Linked DNA regions of Arabidopsis thaliana. The protein of the gene in region 4 interacts with the protein of the main gene of each other region in a biochemical or structural test. Each region holds a gene or a part of one and is shown on either strand. Other genes may lie near its edges. The genes, in order: ZPR3, DRNL, ESR1 and PHV.

Region 1 (4,503 bases), on a different chromosome or scaffold from region 4:
AGAGCCGCTTGAATCTCATGTCATGACACCTTCTGCCCTCCTTTTTCTTTTATTTTCTAAATGGAAAATATATATTCCAAACGAATATTGGGAAATTATTTAGTTTTTAAAAATTTAATTAATTAGTTAACATTTTATGCTCAATTCATCCATCATAACAAAAAAAAAAAAAAAATAGATATACACATTTAGAGAGTGACTGGAGTTTATAATTCATATTCAAACCCAAGAGTGTGTGTAAATTTGACGTAGCATCAATTTTGGTCTATTTAAAGCTATAGTATTCTGATATTATCCATTCTGAGGTTTTATCCAGTATTACTGTTGTTGAAGGAAATGATTTACATGACCAATATTATCAACAACTGGTTTGAACCATAATAATTAAATTGTTCAGATGCACATGGCATAATAATTAAATCATTTCAATTTAGAATGTTAGGATAAAGCTTTCATTGAACTTGCTACAACACATGTAGACTATATATACACAAACACTACTATTAATATTGTTTTTCTTCCTCATTTCCTCTACTCTAGTCTACTTGAAAATTACATAGACCTATTTATACTTAAGAAGTGTTTGCTAATCCTGATGAATAATTAGTGTCAATTCAACGATTCAGTTTCCACTTACTGTCTTACTCGATCGGAAAATATCATGGACAAAATGGGTCACTTTTGTTTTTGTATGAGATGATATATCAATATTGAATGCGTTTTGTATATGATTATAAAAATCGAATAACTTGTCCCCATGTTATATACGATACATTAGTTGATTGATATGCACTTGACAATATTTGATAAATGGAGCAAAGGTACAAAATGTTAGTCCAAGAATCAACCATATCCTAAAGTCCCCAACCCCACACCAGAGGATCTTTAATTAACATAGAAAATAGAAACAAAAGTAAAAATATGACTGAGAAGACTAACAGAGAGACACTGTCTTCTTGTAATAAAACAGAATCTTCTTTTCATAATAACTACTACAGTGCTCGATACTACTTATCTTCCTATAATACACCAAACAAAATAAAATACTTCCAAAAGGTTGGGTCTTCTTTTAATCTTCTCCTACGTACGGATTCGAGATCTCTTGCTCTAACGTATTCTTGATTTAAATCAAGATTGTCCAGAAGCAGAGCTTGATTTGTTGTCATTGTTTGATCCATTGTTAGAGTTCTTAGTTTTGGAGAGTTTCTGTTTGAGTTGAAACAAAAGCTGTTGGTTCTCTTGATTCAGAAGCTCAGCTTTCTTCCTTAGTCTCTCGTTCTCTTTCATTATGTAACAGTTTTCAACAAACAGCTTCGAGTTTAGCCTCTCCATTTCTGCTTTCTTGCTACAAGTAAAACAAAACAAAAGTATTATTACGAATTTTGAAAAATAAATGAGAAAAAGAGAGTAATAATATCAATAAAACCAAAGCTTGTGTTATGATTATTATTGTTCATGTTAAATCATTACATCACACATGGGTTGTGCAGCTTCACACGTCGGATGTGAATTACATTAGCTATAGGAAAAATCATTTGTCGCATTTATTTCGTTTTCATGTGAATTTCTTTTTCTTCTTTTTATGAAATCAATGATCAAAGAGAGAAGAAGAACATGATTATAAATTTGTATGGAGGATAAAAAGATAAAGCTAATAAAGAGAAAGAAATTGAAGAAAAGAGATAAAAACAAGTAATCATGATGATATATATGCAGTAATTATAAATGTTTTAACCTCTATGGACAGAGAGAGTAATGATTATATTTGAAACGCTAGAAAAAAACAGAGTAAGCAACAAAACAAAGATGGTGATCGTAGCAATACAGACTATTAAAAAGAAAAATCAAACAATTTTTTTTATTTATTTCGGTTGCCTCAAAGAAAAAGATAAAGATTAAAAACTTTCCATCATTGAGGAATATTTTAAAAGATGAAAAAGTTTTAACATAGAAAAAGAGAGAAATTAAGGGTTTGTCTTCACGTTAGTTGTACGTGTGACGTTACTACATAACTATTATCTTAACGTATGAACGCAAAAGCGATAGATAACAGAGCAAGAAACAGAAACAGAGCATGTCGAGAAAACTCACGTTAAGCTTCTAGAACAGTAAGAGAGTGAGAGAGAGAGAAGGAGAATAGAGGTTATACCTTTTGGGAAGGAGTGTTGAGAAGCAGAGATAACGAAGAAAGATTGAGAGAGAGAAGAGAGACGCTAGTTTGTGTGTGTAGAGAAGGTAGAGGGACAAAGAGAACAAAGTGAGACACTGTCTGTTATATAGATCCCCAAAAGCTAAAGAGAAAGAGAAAGAACCTTCTCTCTCCTGACACAACAATCATGCATTGTGTTGTGTTTCTGCATAGATGGCGGCCGCAAGAAGAGAGAGAGAGAGAGGAGATTTGTGCATATTGCGTCATGTGAATGATGATGATTTATTAAAGAGAAAGAAGTTAGAGAGAGAGAAGAAAAAAAAAAGGAGTTTTCTTGCTTGCTCTTCTTTCGAAATTGATCTTCAGGGATATTTTCGTAATTTCCGAAAGATCCCCTAGCACTTCCTTTGGCTCTTCATCGTATTCGTCCTCTAAACAGAAGATTCGGTTAAAAGAACTAGAGTAAGGGTATTTACGTCATTACGAAGGAAGTAGTACAGAGGAGGGTAATATTGTCATTTGTGTAGGACTAATGAGAGGGGCTATAGTAGAAGAGGCCATCGACCTCTAAAGATTCGCAATGATGGTAAAGATTGGTTCGAACCATCATCCTTCATGATTCTATTTCAACCGTTTTGGACCATTTTGTAAATGCTCTCTTTCCCCATCTCATGTCCCGGTTAGCTCAATCTTGGTTTAGTTCAAATATTACACTCCACCATTATTATGTTTTAGATTATTATTTCGGATACAAATAGTTTCCTTTGTGTGTTAAACTATTTGTTACTTTTTTCTTTGTATGAAAATCATAGTATACCACAATTTGAAAATGCATTTTTTTGTCCTCTTATATTGTCTCAGCATTCAAGATTTGATATAATTATGGTGGGAGAAGAAAAAAAGAAAGAAATAATGAAGAAGAAGAGTGTTTGGACTTTGGAGCCGTAAAACCTACAAAAAATAATCATGGATCAAAAGTGTTGTAGAACGTGAAACATCATAAACAGTGAGGTGGTTGTTTTTGGATGTATTTATGACTTCTCTTTTTTTCGTAACTTCACATGCCTTTGAATAAAACTCGTTCGTTTGCCCATGACTTAACCCCCAAAAAGAAGATGACTACAATTTCACGTTTATTTAAAACTACTTTGGCTTGTGTATATAAATCTTGTACGGCTTCTTTTAACCCTTCTTTCACGGAATAAATGTGAGAAATTGTGTTTTTTGTAAATATGCTGATTGTAGAAGTTAAACAAAACTGAAACACAATTAGTATTAAGTAGGTGTGTCTTGAAATGGAACTAAAGAGTGGGTACACTTGCTTACACCAAAGGCAATGATTTTAAAGGTGTGAGCAGCTTCATTTCTTGCTGGCCTATGCAATGCCGTTTCTACCCCTCATTGCTTTGGTCTAAGTTTGACAATTCGGTTTGGTGTTGATTTTTATTTATAAAATGAAACTTTAATTTATAAATATAGTTGGTTCTAGGATTAATTTTGGTTAATCATAACCCAGTCGGACCAATTTTCACACCCCAAAAAGGTTGAAAACTTTGTCTCTTTACCATGTAAATTTCAAAAACCTAAGAATATTCAAATATTCGGTTTTGGTAACCCCTATTAATGTAGTAAATGTTTGGTATAGAATATTAGATTACCATTCAGAGAAACTATATTTCGCTTTTATTAATTAATTGGAATTTTCTAGTTATTTTCTCCTTTGTTAATCTAACCTAATCTTTTTTGAACTTTATAATATAAACACAAACGAATTAAAAAAATATACCGTAATTTAACTGATTAAAAGTCTATATAAGTTTGTGTTTATATGACGTATATTTCATTTTGCTACGTACTACTGTATGTATACATTCATGTTGTATGATGGAGCATGCCTCTTTTGCACAAGAAAAGTACTGAAATCTCTTTATTTGAAGGAGTCCACATCCACCTCGAAGGCGATGTGCGCAGTGGTTCGATTGCTATACCCGAGATTGATTTACCGGCGATTGATGTCGCATCATCTGCTGCGTCGGTGGTGGCGGAAGAGTTAGGTAAATCAAATCTCACATAAATGATTCTCTGTTCTATTCTCCATTCTTCGTTCTTCTGATTGTTTTTTTAGGTTTTTGGTGGTTAGATGTTTGCGCCAGACGATTCAGAATTCATAAGGTGTAAAGTGTGTTCATATTAGACTGCATGCAAACATTATCATTGCACATCTTAACTTTTAAATAAAGGACTACTACAGATGTTTGGATGGACTACTACAGAAGTAATTTTCATTTAAATATGGATAAATATCGACGCTCACGATTCAACAAGCAAATCTAGTTTGATATGAATTAGCAATA
Region 2 (3,596 bases), 2.1 Mb from region 4:
CGAGATTTCAAATTCAAATAAGTGTTATGATTTTATTTTGAATGAATATCGATAATTGAATAATTTTATGATATATTTTTATATAATGTTTTGTTTTAAAATAAAAATTAATATAGACTGATGTGATCATATAAAACTAAAGACAGTCCCAACATCGTTCATATCACATCCACTAGAAATTCCAATATTTAGAAGATCTCTTGGATACTTGAAGAGTACCCCTAAAGATCATAATTGGGATATGGTTTTTTTGAATAAGGGTTATAAACATTGATGCAAATTCGAGTCCTTAAGTATATGTTTACTGAGTTTTGATGGTGCAAATACTTTAATGGACAAAGGATTTTGTGAACCTAAATATAATTATGCCCTTACGGTGATCTGAGAGGGAAAAGGGAAAGAAGAAAAAGCAAGAGGACAAAGGCTGTCTTTATGATTCTGAAGTCAACTTATAGAAAAGAAAAAAAAATCTTAATTTGTTCAAGATATATATTTTTGTCCTTTAGGTATTGTCTTCATCCAGCACCTCGAGTATTTTTACTTTATTTTTGTTATTACCTTTGCTCATAACCGACATATGTCATACACAATTAATTAACTTCGCTCATACTCAGATAAAAATTGTTCTTTGCTAAAACATAGAGATAAATTGATCATAGCACTAGACGAAAAATTAAAAGACAAAAGATTTGAGTTAGTTACCCTTAACCTCATTTCTTACAACCCTAAAGAAACTGTGAAGTGATAAGCACGTAAAAAGTAGAACAACAACAATATTCTAATAATCATCATGAAAGCAATACTGATAAAACATTCCACCATTTCCGTTCTGCTGCATCTTAGCTGAATCAAACCCATTCTCATGATCAGCCCAACCTAACTCTCCATGATATTTAACCTGACCGAATCCGTTTCCTTCGACATGGAAGTCAGCTAAACGAACATCTGTCTGAAAACCGCTCTCTGGCATCGTCGGGAAAACACCAACCGACTGTTGGTTGCTCTTTGGAGGTATAGAAGCATGTTGAGAGATAGGTTTTGGTAAGAAGCCTTGAACAATTTCTTGAAGAAGACCAGAACTAGCTGGTTCTGGTTCAAAGATATTTGATATCAGGCTCTCGTTCTCAATGGTACTTGACCTCTTAGCTTTAGGCGAGAGATCTTCACAGACATCGTTGACGTTAGTGAAGGACTCGTGAACAACGTCGTTTACGTTAGAAAGATTACAAGGCGGGTAAGCGAAAGTGGTTAACGGAGAAAGAGACTGAGAGTTTAACACGTCTCGTAGAAGGAACATATTCATTGGAGGAGACGAGAAAATACGGTGGTGATAAGAGTCGAGAGAAGGCATTGGGTAGACGAAGTTGGTTCGAGCTTTAAGACCACGCATGGCTCGAGCGGCGCAGTCATATGCGCAAGCTGCTTCCTCGGCCGTGTCAAATGTTCCGAGCCATCGTCTCTCCTTGGACAATGGGTCCCGTATTTCAGCTGCGTAACGACCCCATGGCCTACGCCTCACGCCTCGGTACCTTATCGTAGAGACACCGGAAGCGCCGGCGCCGGAGGCAGCTTTTGCGGTAGTTACTCCTCCGGGAGAGCCAGGAGCTGTCGAGGAAGTTCTTGATGGCTTTCTTTTCAAAGAATGGATGTTGGTTTCTCTGTGCTCGGCACCTTCGAGTCTCATGATTGCTTCTTCCATGGTTGACCTAAGGGAAATTTTTAAAGCTAAGAATTTTTCTTTTTGTTCTGTGATTGTCTTAGGGTTGTGAGGCACCTGAATGTGATGATAGCTGATTACGTATTTATAGAAAATAAAATATACATTTTTATTGTTTTTAATTTAAGATGGACCTGACCCAATATATAATTTAAAAAAATGGACTTGCATTGCATCTTTTATTGACTTGTGAGTTGTGAATCTATGAGAGATGCAGAAAGCAAAAGTACGTTTAACGAAGTTCTTGTTCCACGTTCGAACTTACATGTCTTTTCTTTTTCCTTTTCTACGGACTTGCATAAAAGCAGTTATAAGTTACATATTTCATGTCTTTTTGACAAGTAACAAATTCATAATTATGATGTACTATTTTTATCTTAACCCTTGCACCATTCTTTCTTATTGTCAGAGTATAAAGGTCCTTTGATACTGTTGATTAAAGGTCGATTTATTCTTTTGTTTTAAGTGAAAGACATGAATATATTTCAGAAAACTTTCTTGAACAATTTACAAATTAAAATTATAAAATCATTGATTTCATTTATTTTTGAACAAATTCAAAGGTCATCGTTTTCAGCTATTTCCGTTGGTCATATTATTCTTTAATCTTTACGCACTTTTCTTTAATTGTGTTTTGGGAAATAATCAATGGTCATTAATTTATAATAATAATGAATTACAGTAATAATAATAAGCAATAGAGTTAAAAGTGATTTATACAGTAGTTTGTGGAAGGGAAAATTATGATGTTGGAGTTGAAGCTTAAAAGGAGAGGGTTGAAAATCGTGAAATTATGATTCTGAATTAATAACACTGGCGGCGCGCAGAAATTGTTCCTTCTACATGAGGTTGTGTTTTGTCTGTTCTTTTTACGAGATTATGGTCGATTTGCTTATTTAGGGTTTTGCTTTTTAATCTGTAAACCAAAGTCACGTGGATTTGTCTCAACTAGGGCTCTTTCTTCATGGTGTAGCCTCTTTAGGGCTTTCCTACTGTAGCTCGATTGTGACTAATGACCCTTTGCGTTTACGGAAATCAATCTCCACCACTAATTTCGTATATATATGTTTGATAATTAATGTAATTTCGCATTTACATAAAAAATAATCTAAATCTCTCTCACATTCTTGATCAATTAATGTCTGTAAAGCTCCATTCATATTCGAGCCCTAAATATAAGGGTTGAATGCAAAAAAAAAAAATCCGTCAAAAAAAGTTTTATCACGCCTAGGAGAAAAAATTATCAATCGTCTAAATATAAGGGTTGCATGCAATTATCACGTATGTTATTATGTTTATCACGTAATTATTGACATATATCGCGTAGGAGAAAAAAAATATATCAACGCAGAAGTCTTTTAGGAGTGTCTAAATATTTTGCCGTTGTTATATATATAACGATTTACAATCATATCTAATTGCATGTAATTTTTTTTTCATTTAGGTTGTGCCGCGAAAAAATATGCAGATTGAAAAGAAAAAAATAACAAACAAAAAAATGGAATAAATATGTGAGGCAAACAAAAACAAAACTATGTTTCCTCAACAAAACGTTGGCAAATCATGTCTACAAACAGTAGATGTTGAAGGAAGAGAAGTCGTGAGCTCCTTGTGGAATTAGTGGATTATGAAGCTGAACACCACAGAGCTCAGTTTGTAAGGAATCGAAATCACTTTTAAAAAATGTGGAAATTTGTGGAAAACTTGAACCTATATAACGGTGGTATCAACTTGTACGTACACGGTACAACATATCAACAGAAGATTAATTCATGAAGTAGTTTGAATAATCGGCTCTAGCTAGATCTTTAATTCATAGAAATCAGACTAATATTCTAAACCTAAACGATATGGACGTCAATTTGTCAGATGGAGAAAA
Region 3 (3,568 bases), 6.4 Mb from region 4:
ACTTAATTGATTAGGTTGGATATATAATTCACATGTCCAACCCTAATCGAAACCGAAGTATTTCAAGTTGATATTATGATAGATACACTAAAATTATCTCAGAACACGAGCTATCGTAATAATTTACTTTGTGACATCGGAAATCACAAAGACATTTGCATAGGACTGAGCTGGAAACCAAAAGTCTTTAGTTCCCAAAATTATGAAGAATTTCTCAAATTTTTAATAGAAAATAGATAAGTTCACCAATGAACTCTTTTGTTGTTTTTACCATATAGTAATAACTATACTTAACAATTATTATAGTATATATTAACTCAACCTACCCCCCCAGACAAAATCTTATATCAACCATGGATACTGTTAGTTTGGTAATAAAAGATCTTGCCTATGGTTTCACATAGAGTTGTAACATTTCAACATTAGACAAAATGTTATCAGTTTAAGTTCATATTATGACTATGCACATTTTAAATTAAAACATTTTAGTTTGCTTGTAAAATTACAGAATTAACGCAGGGGTTTTAATTGCTGCTTATTGTCTCATTCAGTCATTTGCCGACCAACCAACATAAATCTCAATATAATGAGTTCATGACGTCATGGTCATGGTAGATGGTTTTATAATAATACCTAAAAAATCTCAAATGATGGTAGTAATTAAACACATATGACGCAAACGCAGCCATTACAACGCTATTTCAAAACTTATTTAAACAATTAGTAATACTTACCAAAGCTTTTGAAAGATACTCCAGTAAACTTGTCAAATTCTTATATTGTTCTAATAGACTTTATAATAAAACGTAAGCATCGGGCGATATGGCATGATTATTTCATGACAGAAGAAATAAATAATTTTAACAAAAAAAAAGACAGAAGCAATAAATAAAAAACAAGCTTCTGATACATGAAATACATATATGTCTCATACATACGTTTAGACAAACCTGAAATGTCCTCTTCGTACAATAATATCCACAAGTGTCAGATTTACACTGAAGTGTTGCTATGCATATCTTTTGTTCCATACTTTTCTTACAAAATCATTTATTTTCTTCTCGATATCACCGATTGGTGTATGTTGTAATCATACATTAACATTAACAAACAAAGATACTTTTTCAAGGATTATTCTAATTGGCAGTTTTAGAAATAATGGAATTATCCTTTACTAATCATACAGAAATAATGTAAATATGTTTAGCATGTGTGAAATGACTGTTGGTCGATTTTTAACTTTAATAAATAAAAAAGCAATAAGAACGTGGTTTTATTTCGCCACTCCCACTTGCATCGTCATCATCAAAGAAAAACACTAATGTCTAGACCAAAGATTTAAAACATCTACCCCATATATATATGATGAACAAGATAGCAAGTAAATTTAAATGTAAAATTAAATTTTAGTTTGCTAAGATTAATATACAAAAGAAGTATTATCAATTTATCAGTTATTAATCAAATCAAGTTTTAAGTGCAACTCAAAAGTTTCCATGCTTATATAGTTATTTGTATACTACTATACTGTATGTGCAAGAAAAGCATTTATACTCTTCGCCATATATTTCAAACTTCACAAAATTTAATTAAATTTTTATACCATTTATGTACCTATAAATAGATAGAAGAAGCTCCATCTCTTTCAAACTATCAACCACCAAAATCTTTCACATTACACCTTCCTTTTGTCCTCAAACCAAAACCCTAGAAACCAAAAATGGAAAAAGCCTTGAGAAACTTCACCGAATCTACCCACTCACCAGACCCTAATCCTCTCACAAAATTCTTCACTGAACCTACAGCCTCACCTGTTAGCCGCAACCGCAAACTGTCTTCAAAAGATACCACTGTAACCATCGCCGGAGCTGGCAGCAGCACGACGAGGTACCGCGGCGTACGCCGGAGGCCGTGGGGACGATACGCGGCGGAGATACGTGACCCAATGTCGAAGGAGAGACGTTGGCTCGGAACATTTGACACGGCGGAACAAGCCGCTTGTGCTTACGACTCTGCGGCTCGTGCCTTTCGTGGAGCAAAGGCTCGTACTAATTTTACTTATCCGACAGCTGTCATTATGCCTGAACCAAGGTTTTCTTTTTCCAACAAGAAATCTTCGCCGTCTGCTCGTTGTCCTCTTCCTTCTCTACCGTTAGATTCCTCTACCCAAAACTTTTACGGTGCACCGGCAGCGCAGAGGATCTATAATACACAGTCTATCTTCTTACGCGACGCCTCGTGTTCCTCTCGTAAAACGACTCCGTATAATAACTCTTTCAACGGCTCATCATCTTCTTACTCAGCATCGAAAACGGCATGCGTTTCTTATTCCGAAAACGAAAACAACGAGTCGTTTTTCCCGGAAGAATCTTCTGATACTGGTCTATTACAAGAGGTCGTTCAAGAGTTCTTGAAGAAAAATCGCGGCGTTCCTCCTTCTCCACCAACACCACCGCCGGTGACTAGCCATCATGACAACTCTGGTTATTTCTCTAATCTCACTATATACTCTGAAAATATGGTTCAAGAGACTAAGGAGACTTTGTCGTCGAAACTAGATCGCTACGGGAATTTTCAAGCTAATGACGACGGCGTAAGAGCCGTCGCAGACGGTGGTTTATCGTTGGGATCAAACGAGTGGGGGTATCAAGAAATGTTGATGTACGGAACTCAGTTAGGCTGTACTTGCCGAAGATCGTGGGGATAGCTAGATATTCATCATGATTATGTTTTGAGTTTTGGTACTATCGACTTAGTTTAAAGTTGCTACCTTTCCCAATGTTGGATATTAACTAAATTATGTTTTAAGTTGAATTTGCTAATAGGATTTCATAATTATAATCAAGTTTATAATATATTTTCGTAGCTAATTAAAGTTTATATCCACGTATTCTGACACATTACGCGCTTAATGATTTAAGTTGTATCATAATTTATAATCACATGGTGGAACTTGTTAAGAAGTTACGTAACTCTTAAACAGCTTTAAGCCTCTAACATAGTCGTAATAGCAAGAAATAATATATATGATGAGAGATGAGTAAAATAGGAAAATTCCTTTGTTCAGCAATGTTGGTATCGACCTATTAAAAGTGAATCTGCAGATGAAAAAGTGATATCCTTACATTTATTTGTTTGTAGTCTGAAAAGTGGACTAACGTTCGTACAAAAGGCAGTGTTTGTCTCTGTCTTCTCCAACTTTTCGTGCTCTCTTCATTCTATCACCAAAGGAAAAGCTGAACTACTAAATAACAAAGGTCAAGAACTTTAATATTGATTGATGTCAAAAAAATTAGTAATAAGTACTGATTTTTTCACATGTTGATTAATAAGTACTGAATTTGCAGAAATAAACTAAAATATATGCTTTGACCAAAAAAAAAAAACTAAAATATATGCTTTTTCAAAAAAACTAAAACTAAAATATATGCAGAATGAGTTTAATTCATTGCGAATATATGATGAAATACAAAAAAAAAATTGCGTTTTTTTTTGTATCAACTGTACCCACTACTCATGTTCGCAATTCCGTATGTTTCGTGGTTATTGCGTTGATGTAACATGTATA
Region 4 (7,631 bases):
AGTAGCTAGTTCTGGTTTTCAATAGTTTTTACGGTTTGATTATGGTTGGTGTGTATCATTCATCCGTAAATGGTAAAACCTCGATCGATTTACATAACTCATGTAGACAGCGGATTAAAATAGCTGTCCTTAGACTTAAAAAATTCTGTTATTGGTTATATAAAAATATTCCACCATTTTCTTTAAATTATGCTGAAAAATGATAAAAAGAGATTGTACATAAATAAAACTTCCATATTTTTGGTCGGTATAAAACTTCCATAAGAGTTTTGTAGGTTTCTGTCCAAAAGAAAAGCTATTTATCAACTTCCATTACTAACTAGACTACCCAAAAGAAAAGTTTATAGGTTCCTCCAGCCTAGAAGTCAAAGAACAGCATCATCATGACTAGTTTTCTTGTGATAGATACTATTTCAATTTAATAGATAAATACTAGTAATGATTATTGATCATTTAATGTCAAAGATTCATTCAAATCTAATCTTTTGGATGATTATTATTTATGCATACAACCTAAACTCCGCATACATTTTTCATGTTACATATGAGCTACCAAGTCCATTAAACGTTTTTTGCCAAAAACTATGATGATTAATTTAGTTTATTCGACATGCTTTTGAGGCCAATCTTTGTGTTTATATTTGTACATTAACACATGATAAAAACTTATAAGATTACTAATAATAATTCATCTTATATCTATCTATATATATATATATATATATATATATATATATATATATATATCAAATTTCGTAAAAGGAAGATGAAGAAAAACGAAACAAGTCCAAAACATAAATAAAAATAAATATCTTGCCATACATAATGTCATAATTGATTAAAGAGATTATCATCAGAATTTTTCCATATTACATATAGAGTTATGGACTCTCTAATTCAACAAACCTTAGCCAAAAACAACATCCCCTAACTTTTAATATCTAACATAACCAACCTTTTCCTTCATCAAACAAACGACCAACTAACGAGGGTAAAAGCCAAGCAGTGGTTTGATTCGTTGTCATCAACAACTTTCCACACCGTCGCTTGCTCATACGAAACCGGTCTGCCCATGCTCGACACACATATTCCTGCCGGAAGATTCGCATATCCCTGAAGAAGATTCAATCCAAACTTAGTATTTTCCAGGGAAAGACTTAAAAGACTAGCTAGAAAATGTTTAACCTGCTGCATGATCTTGGCGAACTCGGAGCAAAGAGCTCTACGACCAGAGTCATCAAGTGTTTTGTCGAGCATTATATCCTGAAGTGCCACAAGTGTAGTTTCAAGCATGTCTAAACCAGCTTGGTTTGCAAATGTGAATACCGGTGAGGCCTGAGAACCAAAAAATAATCAGACAATTCCCAAACCGAACCATAAACTAGATTGAGCACCTCTTAAAAAAACAGAATTCTTACATTAGTTTTCAGGGAGCAGCACAATATGGCATCACTATGGTCCCAGAGTTGCTTAAGCAATGTGTCTCCTCCACAGGACTGAGAATCAGCTCCAAACAGATCTGCACCTGTATGAATACTAAAACATCGGAGAAAAACATTTTATTGAGTTATTAAATGAGATAAGCACATTCTATATTGTTACAAGTCTTTAGATTAAGGTTCTAAGAAGAGTACCTGTAACTACGGGTGATCCAACGGACAAGAGTGAGAGCTTCAGGGGAAGTGGGAAGTTGCATTGAGCCAGGACGAGGCGTAATGGCTAGAGCCACTCTCTGAATCGAACCAACAACGTTCCTCACATACTGTCTCGCCATTGTAGCAACATTGTCTCTGGAATGGTTATCAAACGTGAACTGGAAGGCTATTGTTAAGACCAATCTAGAGTTTGTTTCCGAATCGGTTTTGGTGGAACCATCTAGGGACGATGCTAGATCCCGTGTTCGACTTGCAGATTGATGATCATTCTGTAACGTTACATACAGGAATAAAAGAAAAAGGACTGTGTCAATTTCAAGATATCAAATTTCTTATCATAAACAGTTTTCTTTTTACCGGATTTGTTTTTTGGTCGAGTGGTATGACACGGAAACCAGAAGGAAGCAAAGGTGCATCATCAGCAAATGATTCATCGATTGGGGCAAAGACAAGCTGAGCACAACCTCCAACCACATTTTCATCAACGCCGCTACAAAGCTGGACAAAAGCAAAAAAGAAACCAAGAATTCAATTTCAATAACTCATCTTTAAGAATCCCTGAGTGTCTTTAGTATAAAGCAAACCTGCAGTAAATACATATCCCGGGATAAGCCCATGTCTTCAGGTGAGTAAGCATGACCTCCAAGTCTAACCACTTCGAGAAACTGAGAAACAAGTAAGCAAAATAGGATTATAGGCATGGCAAAAGAATAGACAACAAGGAAAATGTTCTTGAGATTCTTTGTACCTCTTCATGTTCGAGTGTCTGTGCGAGAGGAAGAATGACTTGGTTACTCGGGAACCCACCGGTTCTGACGCATGGAACAGCATATGGAGTTGCTCTGAGAGATGCAGCAGAATAGGCATCGACACCATAGTCTGCCCATTCAGCTCGGTGTTCTCTCAGGAACCGAATCAATACAAGGGGTGGAACATTCTTCAAGAGCAGATAAAAAAGAGAATGATGTCAGAAATTGAAGAAACCGGTTCTTTTGTCTATTCACAAGTGTCAAAACATGATATAGGCACCTGCAACAGCATAGAAGCTTTGGCACAGAGGACACCACTTCCAAAACTTGGAAGAAATGAGCTACCGTATTGGGAGCCAGCAAATTTAGCAGAGGAAGAGTTAATCATGATCGTAATATCCTCTCCTCCATCACTACTCATTGGAGACCATCCATCATCGACAAAACCATTTACAGCATCATTGAAACCCCTGAATTTCAAGAAAAGCAATTAGAACAATGCTTTAGAAAATAAAACTAAGCTTATCAAGGAAATGTATTACCGGCAGAGTCTCTGGCTGAAAGTCCTTAAAACTGCAGGCTGGCGTCCACCACTATACTGGACTTCTCCACTAGTCTCTTGAGCAATTTGGCGCACATGTCTCAGAGCCTGAAATGTGGAAGTAAAACTCATAAAGAGAGCCTAATCAGGTCACGGGTGGATAAGGTTTATATGGAACTTACAGCGACAGTCATTTTTTGAGCAAGGATTTTGGAAGACTCATAAAGAGGCCTGAGGACTTCAGGAACACTTGAGACCTACCAAACCAAAAAAACGTATCAATCAACATAAATAGAAGGCTTTTACGAAACCTAATGTGCTATTACAAATCCAATATGCTTACATCCAAGTCCACATGATCAACGATGTGAATAATGGAACCACCACCATCACAAGGACGGATAAGAAACCCGCTTGACAGCATTTTGGCTCTCACGAAGCTTGAAGAAAGTGGACCATTGGGGCCACCAGTTGCAGAAGTGAGTGATCTCTCACAGACCTGAAGGCAAAAAAGCAAATATAAGGCAAATCTAATAAATAGAATCATAGATGAACAAAACCAGGTCCTAATACCCACCACATAGCTTCCATCTTCTAGACTTGTACTATATCTCAGCGTCCAAAAGTCACGAGCTGCTGCTAATGTTGTAGGAGCATAAATCTGATAACCAACCATGAATAATGATCATTACATTTTAAAGGAACAAAAACAACACTCATGGATTTATGAAACAGACCTGAGTGTTGACAAGCTCGATAGTACCACCATTTCCAGTGGGTATAACATTCAGAGTCTCGACACATCGACAGTCACGGAACCAAGATGGACGATCTTTGAGGATTTCAGCGACCTACACAGTATTTGAAGTTTAGATTGCCTTCGTAGAATTTCCGCTTCTTACAACACAAGATTAAAATAAAAAGAAAACACCATTACCTTCATGGGTTCTAAACTCACGAGGCCACAGGCACGTGCTGCTATTCCACTGCAGTTGCGTGAAACAGCTACGATACCAATAGAATCCGGACCAGGCTACATACATAACCATGAAAATACATATTAAAACATTTTCTAAAAACCACTTCATTTCCACATATGAAAACGTTAAAATACTTCAACTTATCTACCTTCATCCCAATCATCTGGACCCAGTCGACAGCAGTTCCTGTAGCCTTGCAAAGGAACTCCGCCAAGGTCTCCTCCGCAATCGAGAGAAGACTACCAAAAAAACACTCCATTTAGTCTCTTCTCATAATGTCACAATGAGAAATTCACAAACAAAAAAAGAGCCTTCCTTACTTAGCTGGGTTGTTAACATCACGCTGAGGATGCTGATGTGTTGGGTTTTGCTGCTGACGTTGCTGACCACTCACGACCACAGACTCACAGCTGTTGTCTGTGGTCGTCCCAGAAGCCTAAGACACAACACAGAGATTTCACCAGTCACTCTCTAACAACAGAGAACTCTTAAAGAACAAATACATATACAAGCATCAAAGATAACAACTCAACAATGCATTTAGCAAAAGGGATTCAAGGACTTACAGTGTGGATTCGATGTTTCATGAATCCATTCTCATAAACCAAGTTGGAGACTTGCTTCTGCAAACGATCATTCTCTTCCATCAAAAGCTTGTTCATAGCACTCAGCTTCCTGTTCACTGTCTGAAGACGAGCTGACTCTTTCCTCTGCTTCTCTCGACATCTAAAAAGTCAACAAAACAACCAAAAGAAACCAGAAAAGTTAAAGACAAACCTATAGCAGTATGATAAATGTGTTGAAATAATAGAAAAATGAACAGAAGAAACACACACTTTTTTGCTTTAGAATGATACCAGAATGACATAAAGAACAAAAGATAATGTAATTTCCAACATATTCTCTGCAGAAGGAAAAAAAGAGAGAGGCGTTTTAAAGCTCATCAAAGACAGTTTGATTAGCTGTCACTTTTCCTTGTGATTTTAACTTTCAACTGTGTCAACAAAAGCCTAATAAGCAAAAAGAGAAAAACAAATTTATAGACATAGATCTGAAAGTTTCAAAAGCTTAACAATCACCAATTAGACCAAAAACAAGAAGATTACCAAAAACATTGTCAGACAAGAACATTTTTGTCTCCAAATACAAACAAAAGAAATTCAATTTTATAATTACAGAAACAATCAAAGAACACAAAAAACATTCCATTAAAGACAATTAATAAAGAAATAATAACCTGCGATTCTGGAACCAAACTTTGATCTGTCGAGGCTCGATGTTACAGAGAATGGGACATTCACGAATAAGCTGTTGTCTTCTCAGAGAGCTAGGTTTAGGACACTCAGCATAAACTCTCTCAAGAGCTTCAACTTGTTCCGGCGTGTATCTAACGTACTTGCCGGAATCAAATCCTTTATCAGGAGAGTCTCTATCGTCCATGGAGTGATGAGCCATCATATCTTCCAAACAGGTCAGTAGAAATCAGAGAGAGAGAGAGGGTTTACAAAAAGAAGAATAAAGATCGATACTTTGAGAGAAGTAAAAGAGACTCAGATGAAGAAATATTAGATGGGTAGGCTCTCTGAGAAGAGAGAGCCTCCTGTGAGAGTGTTCATGAGATGGTAATGGTTGGAGAAAAGAGTTTTTTGGGTTTTTTTCATTTGCTCTCTCTCTCAAAGGAGATTGAAAGATGGAAAGAGGTAAAAGGAGCAAAAGCGAGGCAGCTAAGTAGAGAGAAGAGAGAGAAGAGAGAGAAGAGAGAGGAAAATACTGAAAAAGTAAAAGTAAAGATCTTTCTGAGAGAGAAAGGACAAGGAACAACCCAACAAGATGCACTAAACTGGTAAATATTGTTTTCAAAAAAAATTAAAGGTGAAATTTTTGGGAGAGTAGGTTGAATTCAATGTTTTTGGTTAAAAGCTTTTTACTGTTAAGGCAAAGTAAAAATATTTAAACTTTTTCTTATACAAAGCTAAGCTTGAATTTTAATTCAAAGCTTAAATTCTAAAAGTTAAAATGATTAACTAGGATAAAAGTTTATGTCTTTGATAACTCATTATCAAAGCGGTAGAGTTTGTACAACTTTGACAGTTATCATTTATAAAATCTTTATCAAAAACGTTATAAAAAGTTTTATTCTCAATTTTATTATACAACTTTCTCGTACAACTCTTTTTTATAGTTTGCAACTATTCCGAAAAATTTTACAATTCATCTAAATTACCAGTTGGACCCATATATATTCTTTGGTTGCCACCATATAAATATTATTAGTTAAATAGATAATTATAATATTGATTGAATTAGATTAACAATTCATTTTAAAAGTTTCGTAATATTTGATGCATAGTTATAAGTAAATAATTACTTGTTTTATTATTTTTTCTTACAACTCTTTTAAATAGGTTTAATATGAGATGGAATCTTGATTACACTTCTCTAATTCATATCATTACCACCTAATTTTCTTTGTGTAAACATGTTTCTGTATTCAATATTCTTGGATTAGATTAAAAGGACAAGTAGATGTTGACAATTAAAAAGGATTGAAAGTGATTAGTTTTGAAAAACTTAAATGCATTCAGATTTCAGACTAAGGCTAAACACAAACAGATGAGAAAACCAACACGCAAAGTTGTTGTCTCTGCAAATTTTAAGACATATCAATTATTATCAGAATCCCTAGTCCTAATGGCAATCGATAAGAATAAATATGTTTATCTATTGGTAACAAAAATAAATCATGCTACAACTATTTATATTCGTAAAACGTAAGTGTTGTTGTCAGAAGAAACGGAATTTTGACAAAATGGGGTAATTTGCTAACTTAGGGAAAGAAAGCACTTCTCTTTAAGCTCTGTGACAGTGGCCTACCCAAACATAGCATCAAATTTTCCCTACCCTCTTTGCTCTCTAGTCCTAAGACGTTGTATGTATGTATGTATGTGCATGTACATATTTTCATGATGATGGTGTTGTTGTATGCCTATCTTTTGTATCCATGTGGAAGAGACGATGCATGACAAGTATGTACAATGTCACTATGCGCGTGAGATGCGTGAAATCTGTTGTTTTTTTTGGTTAACCTTAATTGGTTTTATTTCCTTTAACTTGTTTTGAAAGTTTTGAATATAAATTAGGGAATTTAATGAAAAAAACCCTTAACTTTGGCCAGATCCATTTTAAACCCTAAACTATGTTTTTAGTAAAACAAACCCTGAACTAAAACCTGTTAATAAACTTAACTCCACAGTAATTAATTATTAATGGGATATTAATTTCTAAAAAAAAAAACAACGAGACATTTGTATTTAGCGCAAAAACCACATGATGTTCTTTAAAACTATTTTGAATTTATTACAAAAAAACGTTCTAAATGATTTTGAATTGCTTAATTAGTTTGGATTTTAGAAGCTGAAAGAAAGACACAACAACTTAAAATAATCCAAAGAGTCATACTTAAATAAATCCAACCAACATAACTATCGAAGCTGTTGCAACACAACAATATTTGTCACAAAAAAAACAATCGTTTCAGAGGGACAAGATATTCTAAAGTAAAGACTTGTCAAGCATTAACTTTGAAGAGAAGATTGTATTGGCTGAGTGATAGGGTTCTCTTCATCCATTGTTTTCTGTTTTTTCCTTGGTCGTCTTTGAGGTTTCTTGGGTGGTTTTGGCACTGCTTTACGCTTGCATGAACGTT

The links.
Region 1: the proteins of PHV (region 4) and ZPR3 form a complex in vitro, tested with the Arabidopsis thaliana proteins (one study listed by BioGRID).
Region 2: the proteins of PHV (region 4) and DRNL form a complex in vitro, tested with the Arabidopsis thaliana proteins (one study listed by BioGRID).
Region 3: the proteins of PHV (region 4) and ESR1 form a complex in vitro, tested with the Arabidopsis thaliana proteins (one study listed by BioGRID).

Annotation. Positions count from the first base shown.
Region 1 is NC_003074.8:19,556,763-19,561,265, forward strand, and holds ZPR3 (binding protein), read right to left. Parts: upstream 2,562-4,503; 5' UTR 2,150-2,561; intron 1,346-2,149; 5' UTR 1,333-1,345; coding exon 1,129-1,332; 3' UTR 754-1,128; downstream 1-753. UniProt on the Arabidopsis thaliana protein: Competitive inhibitor of the HD-ZIPIII transcription factors in shoot apical meristem (SAM) development. Acts by forming non-functional heterodimers. Part of a negative feedback loop. Involved in SAM development and lateral organ patterning.
Region 2 is NC_003070.9:8,713,611-8,717,206, forward strand, and holds DRNL (DORNROSCHEN-like protein), read right to left. Parts: upstream 1,769-3,596; 5' UTR 1,700-1,768; coding exon 779-1,699; 3' UTR 755-778; downstream 1-754. UniProt on the Arabidopsis thaliana protein: Required for correct embryo patterning and cotyledon organogenesis. May positively regulate the gibberellin signaling pathway leading to germination, hypocotyl elongation, and leaf expansion.
Region 3 is NC_003070.9:4,428,071-4,431,638, forward strand, and holds ESR1 (Integrase-type DNA-binding superfamily protein), read left to right. Parts: upstream 1-1,647; 5' UTR 1,648-1,720; coding exon 1,721-2,707; 3' UTR 2,708-2,895; downstream 2,896-3,568. UniProt on the Arabidopsis thaliana protein: Regulates gene expression patterns in meristems and thus modulates organ development. Required for correct embryo patterning and cotyledon organogenesis. Modulates auxin signaling pathway in early embryos.
Region 4 is NC_003070.9:10,795,362-10,802,992, forward strand, and holds PHV (Homeobox-leucine zipper family protein / lipid-binding START domain-containing protein), read right to left. Parts: upstream 5,733-7,631; 5' UTR 5,384-5,732; coding exon 5,163-5,383; intron 4,652-5,162; coding exon 4,492-4,651; intron 4,362-4,491; coding exon 4,246-4,361; intron 4,165-4,245; coding exon 4,074-4,164; intron 3,979-4,073; coding exon 3,883-3,978; intron 3,797-3,882; coding exon 3,683-3,796; intron 3,607-3,682; coding exon 3,523-3,606; intron 3,445-3,522; coding exon 3,289-3,444; intron 3,203-3,288; coding exon 3,128-3,202; intron 3,054-3,127; coding exon 2,947-3,053; intron 2,875-2,946; coding exon 2,685-2,874; intron 2,593-2,684; coding exon 2,404-2,592; intron 2,321-2,403; coding exon 2,240-2,320; intron 2,154-2,239; coding exon 2,013-2,153; intron 1,925-2,012; coding exon 1,635-1,924; intron 1,537-1,634; coding exon 1,419-1,536; intron 1,336-1,418; coding exon 1,186-1,335; intron 1,114-1,185; coding exon 967-1,113; 3' UTR 763-966; downstream 1-762. UniProt on the Arabidopsis thaliana protein: Probable transcription factor involved in the determination of adaxial-abaxial polarity in ovule primordium. Specifies adaxial leaf fates. Binds to the DNA sequence 5'-GTAAT[GC]ATTAC-3'.